2 linked regions of the Callithrix jacchus genome follow. The protein of the gene in region 2 purifies or fractionates together with the protein of the main gene of each other region. This does not show direct contact. Links are inferred from orthologs where the notes say so. Each region holds a gene or a part of one and is shown on either strand. Other genes may lie near its edges.

What was found.
Region 1: the proteins of CDC42BPB (region 2) and FAM167A purify together in Homo sapiens (co-immunoprecipitation; 3 studies listed by BioGRID and IntAct, counting the BioPlex papers as one, with this or other methods). This does not show direct contact. The link is inferred for Callithrix jacchus from reciprocal best matches to the Homo sapiens genes CDC42BPB and FAM167A.

What each region holds. Positions count from the first base shown.
Region 1 is NC_133514.1:10,604,713-10,609,012, reverse strand, and holds the start of FAM167A (protein FAM167A), read right to left. Parts: upstream 2,801-4,300; 5' UTR 2,110-2,800; coding exon 1,711-2,109; exon of another isoform or gene 1-1,710.
Region 2 is NC_133509.1:137,829,737-137,833,236, forward strand, and holds part of CDC42BPB (serine/threonine-protein kinase MRCK beta), read right to left. Parts: intron 487-3,500; coding exon 355-486; 3' UTR 1-354. UniProt on the Homo sapiens protein: Serine/threonine-protein kinase which is an important downstream effector of CDC42 and plays a role in the regulation of cytoskeleton reorganization and cell migration. Regulates actin cytoskeletal reorganization via phosphorylation of PPP1R12C and MYL9/MLC2.

The DNA of each region.
Region 1 (4,300 bases), on a different chromosome or scaffold from region 2:
GGGGCTCTGTGGCTCTCGCTCAGCAAATAGTTAGGCAAGGCCTTAATTTATTTCCCTGCCAGAGTCCCTCTTGGAGGGGGGCCAAGCTAGTAGACAGGAAGGCGGGGACTGGCAATTAAGTGGAAATCCAAGCATGTAATTGGGAGGACCAAAAGAACAGGAGCAAGTGCGCAGGGAGTCTAGGGACTCTGGGCAGGCAAGGAGGAGAACAGGGTGTGGGGGAGCAACCCTTTCTTCTGCTTCAGATGAGAAGAATTGAGGCAGTGGTGGTGGCACAGCCTTGCAAGCTCCTGATAGAAGAAATGGCTTTCCTAGCTCCACAGGGTTCCTCAAGCTGGCAGGGGACCTTCTGAGGTCACGAGATGAGCCCCACTGCACAGTTCTCATTTCTTCTGGGTGTGGGTGGTTTCTGCCTCTCTCTGGGCCTCAGGGGCCTCGGACTTCCTAAAGCAGCCTTCCTTTGAGAGCACTGTCCCAGGAGTCAGGCACGTGGGCTGACTATCTCTGCTCTCTCACCAGGTGTGGGAGCCACTTCTGAGTCCCATTGGCAAAACAAGCATAATAGGGCCCCCTTGAAGGGCAATGGGGAGGATGGAGTGACCAAGGGATGCTAGGGGCTCCCAGGTCATGCACTATCCATAAATACACTCAAGACAGAAGAGCTGTCATCTTTATCCACTCCAGGCACAGCCCATGGCTGCTTTCCAAGCTCCTTCAAACCAGGCAGCAGAAGTTCCTACCCTGCCGAGGAGCTCAGGCGACAGGCGCCACAGCACCTCTGCTTTCCCGACTTTAAACAGGCTCTCCACTCTCCATCCTGAGCTTAGTAGGGGGCAGGACTGTGTCTCCCTGTCAATGGGAAGCTGCTTTGGAGCACGTGTCCCTTGGGGAAAACCCTGTGGATGGGGACCTGGTCTCCTCATCTGGGATTCTCCAGCAATGATGAGGAGCCCCCAACCAAGAGCCAATCCTCCTTCCAGATCTTCCCAGGAGGTCCCAGTCCTCAGAATTCCCTCCAAGCCCCACTAGGAATAAAAACCAGGTAGTAAGGGGTTTGCAAAACAATACATCCAACTTGACTTAGCTGAAGAAGACACCCCACCCCTTGTGGTCTGTGGTCCTGTGTCTCGGCGACTCTGGGTGCCCAGCTTCACGGCTGACCTACTCATTCCCGGGGGCCCACTGGGCTGTGCCCTTCCCTCGGGTCACATTGGCTTGGGTCCTTAGAGCACCCTTGGGCCCAGGTGCCCTGGGCCACTTCTCCTGAGTTAGGGACTGAATTCGTGAGGACAGAAACTTCCATCTCACCAAGGCTGAAGACAGGAGCCAGGCTGGGCTTGGAGGTCACCAGCCGCCTAGGAGTGGACCCGGAGAGGCTGCGTGGGGCCCTCCCTCTCAGATGGCAGACCCCGACCCTCCACCCAGAATCCGAGCCCGGACAGGGCCAGCAGGGAGCTGGGAGATGAGTCCGGCCCTGGCTGCCCGGCTCCCAGAGGAGGGCAGCGAGCCCGCAGGAGCGGGAGCGCCTGACCGGCCTCTCCTGGGGGTGGTGGGCGCGCGTCCCCTCCGGGGCGCCTGGGGATCGGGCTGCTCCGCGCCACTGCTCCCGCCGGGGACCCGCGACGCCCCAGCCCCTGCCCAGCCCGCGCCGCCCGCCGCGGCCACACCTCCCAGCCCCTGGGAAAGTCCCCGCCGCCGGCGCGAACCCACCTTCGGGGCGCCCAGGGTCCCTGCTGGGGACTCTCCGGGGTCCCCGCCGCCTCCTCCTGCGCAGGTCCGCGCTGCCCGGCTCCGGCCCGGCCCCAGCTCTGCGCTCCCGCCTCGCCTCCCCAGCTCCGGCGAATTCTCGGCGCCGCTCCTTTCGCTCCGTTCAGAGGGGACGTTTTTTCCCCGCGTTGCGTCAGGGCCGTTGCCTGGCGACGGCCGAGCTCTCAGCCCCGAGCCTTTCACCGCGGTCCCGGCCTCGCTTCTCGCCCCGGGTCCGAGCGCGCCCCGGGTCCTAGCGCCCTGCCTGTTCCCCTGCCAGAGCGGCCCCGGCGAGTGGAGACGAACTGCACACGCCTTCGCCAAACCCCAGAGGAAACCAAACCCAAACATCCATTTTCTCATTAAACCCGAAACCAAGGCAGTTTCCCCCAGTCGTGGCAACGTGGCTGCGCCACTGTCAGCAGTTTGTCCACGTGGAGGAGGCAGGGGAACCCCACGCCCACGGCCTCGCCCACCCACACACGGCTGGAGTTGACAGGACCCGCGGCCACGACTGCTCCCGAGCGCCCACCGTGGGCCACACCCCCGACGACCCAGCAGGGCAGGTAGGTGTGGGCATCTCTGGCTGCCAGATGAGGAAACCGAGACGCAGAGACCCAAGCGTTTGCCCCACTAACCACAGGGTGTCCCGCCGGGGGAGGGGGTGCGCGGCATCAGCCACCTCCAGCTGTTATTGGGTTCTAAGACCCAGTCCCTGCTCCATTAGGACCAGAGCTGCAAACCCGAAGGCACACGCAGGACAGCAGCCCGAACCGCCGGCCCGCAGGTCTTCAGGACCAGTCACACACGCAGATGACGGGCCCAGGCCAGACACCGGAGGCCCCAAGGCGGGTTACTGGATGGGGGCCTCTTACCCAAGACCTCATCAGGCACCTTTCCTAGATGCCCGGGGCTGGAAGCGTCTTTCAAAGCGCTCCCACCTGCCATTCTTACGACAGCCCAGGGCGTGCGTGCAGGCGCCGTCTACAGGAGCAGACGCGAAGCTGAGTGGTGGCGCTGCAAAGTGGCCGGCGAGGGCTCCAGGCAGGTGCGCGGCTGGCCGGGCCGTCTTTGGGGCCTTAGCTCCTGCAGGTGCCCGAGACCCTCGGGCTGCCCTCTGGTGCCCGTGTCCTTCACTGCAACTCCGCATCCAGCCCTGACCTACTCCCTTTCTTTCCGACCTTCACTGGAAGGTCCTCTAAGGGACACGGTCTAAGGAGACATCTTGCCAGCACAGACCTACTCATGCTAATGGGGCAACGGTCCTAAGCTAAGAGGTGTATTAACAAGCGTCTTTTGGAGAGTCACAGCGTTGATGCAGACCTTCGGATTCCAGCTCCTAAACATCTCTCCACTCCTTCCGTCTTCCTGCCCGCTGCCACTGTTCCTAGCAAGGCACCAGCAGCTCGCCCTACCCTGTTCTGGGACCTGCCACCTGGATCCGAGCATGCACGCAGTCTTCTCAACGATCCCCCTTTACCCACTCTCAGCGGCTCCCAAGCCAGTTACTCCACAACCAGCGGAAACTCTTAAGAATGGAAATCCAATCTCAGCTGCTGCTGCTTAAAGGCCTTCAACGCCCCCAGTCCTCTGAGGATTAAGAGCTAGCTTGGCTGCAGGGGATTGATTGGCCTCTGTCTGTCTCTAGGGCCTTTTGCATGGCCTCTGCTCCCCAGACAGGTGCTCTTCCAGTCCCTCTGTGCACCTGCTCCACCCCATGGGCTGCTGCAGCTTCGCCTCCCAAGGGAACCCTAGGTTACAGGTGCTCACAGCACCCCCAACCTCTTCTTCATGGGCTAGTTATAATTCCAAGTTTATTTGTGAGGTTATTTAATTAGTGTCTCTCTCCCTCCCAGGCAGTGGGCTCCGGGAGGGCAGGCAGGAGCCTCGATCCAGACTTGGGGATGCAGCATCCTTCTGGGTGCTGGCTGTCCCTGACCACAGCGTCGCGTTGCTCACTGCTGTGCCTGAGGCCCTGGCACGTGGTGAATGCGCTAAGGTCTTTTTGGACTGGCCATTCAGCCCCAGCTGGAAATGTTTTGTCCTACCTCCACTTCCTGGCTCTCTGGCCTGTGGCTTCTATTTCTGGGAGTGCAGATGCTTTCTCATGGGGGAACTGTCGAATGTCTCAAATGGACAGGCAGCCTGTCCAGGGCAAGGGTGGTGTCTTGCCCTGTGGCTACCATTCTGTCTGGCATGTGCCTGTGGGCAGGAGCGTGCTCAGTGATGGGACTCAGAGGGGAGTGGGCCAGAGGAAGGAGGAAGGGGAGGAGGAGGAGCAGTCTTGGTTGGAATAGCCTCAACTCTAACATCAAACCACATGAAGTGGTCACATAAGTGAGTTAGCACAGAATTGTATGTAGCCATAGAAATAATATTTTCAAAAACTGTTTGATCATAAAGAAAAATACTAATGATTTAATGCTAAGTAAATAAGACTGGGACACCAAATCCTGTGTACATTAGGAAAGTTCTCATTCGAATATCTAATTCATATGTATGCATGGAAAAAAGACTGGAAGAGTATATGCAAATATTAGCTGTGGTTATCTCT
Region 2 (3,500 bases):
CCAGCTGTCTGCTTCCGAGGCAGCCGTATTATGACGGGTTTCTGCTGAGGAAGTGGCATTAGCAGGGCCCCACACGCCTTCTCGGGCTGTCAGGGGTGGGAGAGGGGTGTGTGGGGTCCTTCATGTGCAGACGGGACATGTTGCCTCACAGCTGTGCAGACGAACGGATCTGGTCTACTGCCACGAACAATGCGGCATAAAACTGATCAATATTATAATAAAGATTTGTCTTCATCTCCGTATCTACAAAGTGATTCTACATTTCCTTGGACAACACTGGCGGGCCCACTCAGTCTTGGCACTGACGCTGGAGGCCATCCCCAGCTCCCTGGGCCCTCTGGCGTGCTGGCGGCTTCAGGCGTCACAGGCTGGCTGCTCCAGGCCTTCCAGGGGGAGCTGGCTCCTGTGGGGGGAGTTAGGGCTCGGTGGACCGCTGGGGTTGGAGCTGTTCGATGGAGTTGAGTGTTTGGTGGAGTCCGAATCCGGCTGTGAACAGGAAGAGGGCAGGTGAGCACCTGCTGTCCTACCCTGGGAGGCAGCGCCCAACTGGACGCAAATATCTGCCCAGGGACAGCTGTGGCAACTGCTCTTCCCCTTTCGTGTCATTAGAACACACAAGCTTCTACACCAGTGATTCCTGGGGGCCTTCAGCTTGCTGGTGAGAGTCACAAATTGATGTCTCACCCCACTCAAAAATAATACAGGAATTATTACAAAAGACAGTAACTCTGTAGCGAAGAAACCAGATGAGGCGGGGCGCAGTGGCTCCCACCTGTAACCCCAGCACTTTGGGAGGCAAAGGTGGGTGGGTGGCACTCGAGGTCAGGAGTTAGGGACCAGCCTGGCCAACGCGGTGAAACTCCATCTCTACTAAAAATACAAAAATTAGCCGGGCGCAGTGGTGCACACCTGTAACCAAGTAGTCCACATTCACCAACATGAAGCACTAGGAATAGAAGGGAACTCCCTCAAATGATGAAACACTAACGATACTCAGTAGTGAGAGACAAAACTTCCCCCAAGATCAGCAACGAGACAAGGATGCCTGTTTTCACCACCACCACTCCACATGGCACTAGGTGTAGCCAGAGCAACCAGGGAAGAGAAAGAAAGAAAAAGGATTCCAGGTTAGAAAGAAAGTAAAACCATCTCTGTTTGCAGACGATGTGATTCTACACATAGAAAATCCTAAAGAAAAGAATCCAAAAAAAAAAAAACCAGCAAATTCAGCAAGTTACAGGGCACAAGATCAACACACACGTCAGTTGTATTTCTATACACCAGAAATGAGCACATTGAAAGGGAAACTGAAAAAAAATTCAATTTACAATAGCATCCAAAATAATAGGAATAGTTTAACCAGAGGAGTGAAAAATTTGTACACTATAAATTATAAAACATGGCTGAAAAAAAAAAAATATCCCATGTTCATGGAGTAAGTATATTGCTAAGATGGCTGTTCCAGGCTGGGGCGGTGGCTCACGACTGTAATCCCAGCACTTCAGGAAGCCAAGGTGGGTGGATCGTTTGAGGCCAGGAATTCGAGACCAGCCTGGCCAACATGGCGAAACCCTGCCTCTACTAAAAATACAAACATTAGCTGGGCATGGTGGCAAGTGCCTGTAGTCCCAGCTACTCGGGAGACTGAGGCACCATAATCGCTTGCAGTGAGCTGAGATCGTACCACTGCATTCCAACCTGGGCGACAGGGCAAGACTATGAATCAAAAAACAAAAAAAGCAAGCAGAAAAAATGCATTATGAGGAACGTAAATGACAACCTGTAGAACAAGAGAAGACCTCTGCAATCACATCTCTCACAAGAGCCTATTCAGAACACGACAGGAGCTCCCACCCATCCACAGAAAGACAAACCACAAATTCAAAAATGGGCAGAGGCCTTGAGCAGACATTTCTCTAAAGAAGGTACGGAATGGCCAATAAGCTGAAGAAAAGATACTCGAGTCTTTGGGGAATGCAAATCAAAACCACACTCAGGTACTACTTCACAGCCACTAGGACGACTATTAAGAAGAAAACAGAAAAACAAAAACAAGTACTGTGAGGATGTGAGGTGAGAGCCCTCATGCGCTGCTGGTGGAAACGAAATGCTACAAGGGCTGCAGAGAACAGTGTGGTGGCGCCTCCGAGTTATACAGAATCACCACATCCATCCCGCAATCCCACTCCTAAACCCCAGTGTGAGACAGGCACTGAGACAAGTACGTGCACATGTTCCAGCACCACGTGCTACGGCCCAAACGGGCATCCGGGGAAGAACGGGAAAACAAGGCGGGCTCTGTCCATACAAGAGAACATTACTTAGCAATGAAAACCAAACACTGACACATGCTACGGCAGGGGTGAACCGCAGAAGCAGTCTGCCAAGTGAAAGCCAGGCACAAAAGGTCAAAACCATTTCTGGGGGGGGGCGGGTGTGGGAGGAAAAAAAATTTCTATAGAAAGGCTGGGCACTCCATTTCCACAAAATGTCCGTAACGGGAAATCTCAGAAAACTGGGGACTGCCCAGATGCTAAGGGGAGGGAGTGACAGGGAGAGAATGCTTAAGGGGCAGGAATTTATTTTGAAATGATGAAAATGTTTTTATTTATTATGTTTGAGAGAGAGGATCTCACTACATTGCCCAGGCTGGCCTTGAACTCCTCAAGTGATCCCTCCACCTCAGCTTGGCTAGTAGCTGCTACTACAGGCATGAACCCCTGCCCAGCCTGGAGTAATGGAGATGTTTCTCAGAGAAAGAGGTGGTGAACGTTCTAAATGTCACTCAGCTGTTCACTTCGGTCACCTGGGCCTGGTGTGCTGGCTGATGCCTGTCATCCAAATCCTCTGGGAGGCCGAGGTGGGAGGACGGCTTGGGCTCAGGAGTTGGGAGACCAGCCTGGGCAACAAAAGAGGCCCTGCCTCTATGTTATTACTTAAAAAAAGAAAAAAGGTGTTTTGTGACTTTCACTTAGAAGAACAAACAAGGTCATGCAGAGGAAACAGGCACTAGCTGCCTCAGGACACGGTGCCCTGAGAGGGATGCCATGTCCTCTGTGTGGTGTGACAACCCAAGACATGCACTGAGTCTCCTGAGCGGGAAGCAGCAGACAGACACGAGCTCGGGAGCAAGCCGCAAAGTAACAGCAGTGCTCGCTGCAAAAATGTTACGCTCACCAAAGACAGGCTGAGGGCCTGCTGCAGAGTAAAGGGCGGGGAGCAGGACGTTTGGAGGAAGAGACCCTGACCTTGGCAGAACCAGTAATGTGTGCAAGGCACCTGCACATCTGTTTGGCAGCTGATGTTAAAACATCTCAGTGCTGGGGCTGAGATGTGTGCTGGAGTGATGGGCCTGGCCCCTCTGCCTCCTTCCCTGCCTCCCTCCCTCCCTCCCTCCAAGGATGGTGCCGGGGGCTCAGCCCTCAGCTCACTCCTCAGCCCACAGCACTGCAGCTCCCCGCCTCCCTCAATTGCTTTCTCACCCCCATTCTGCACAGGGG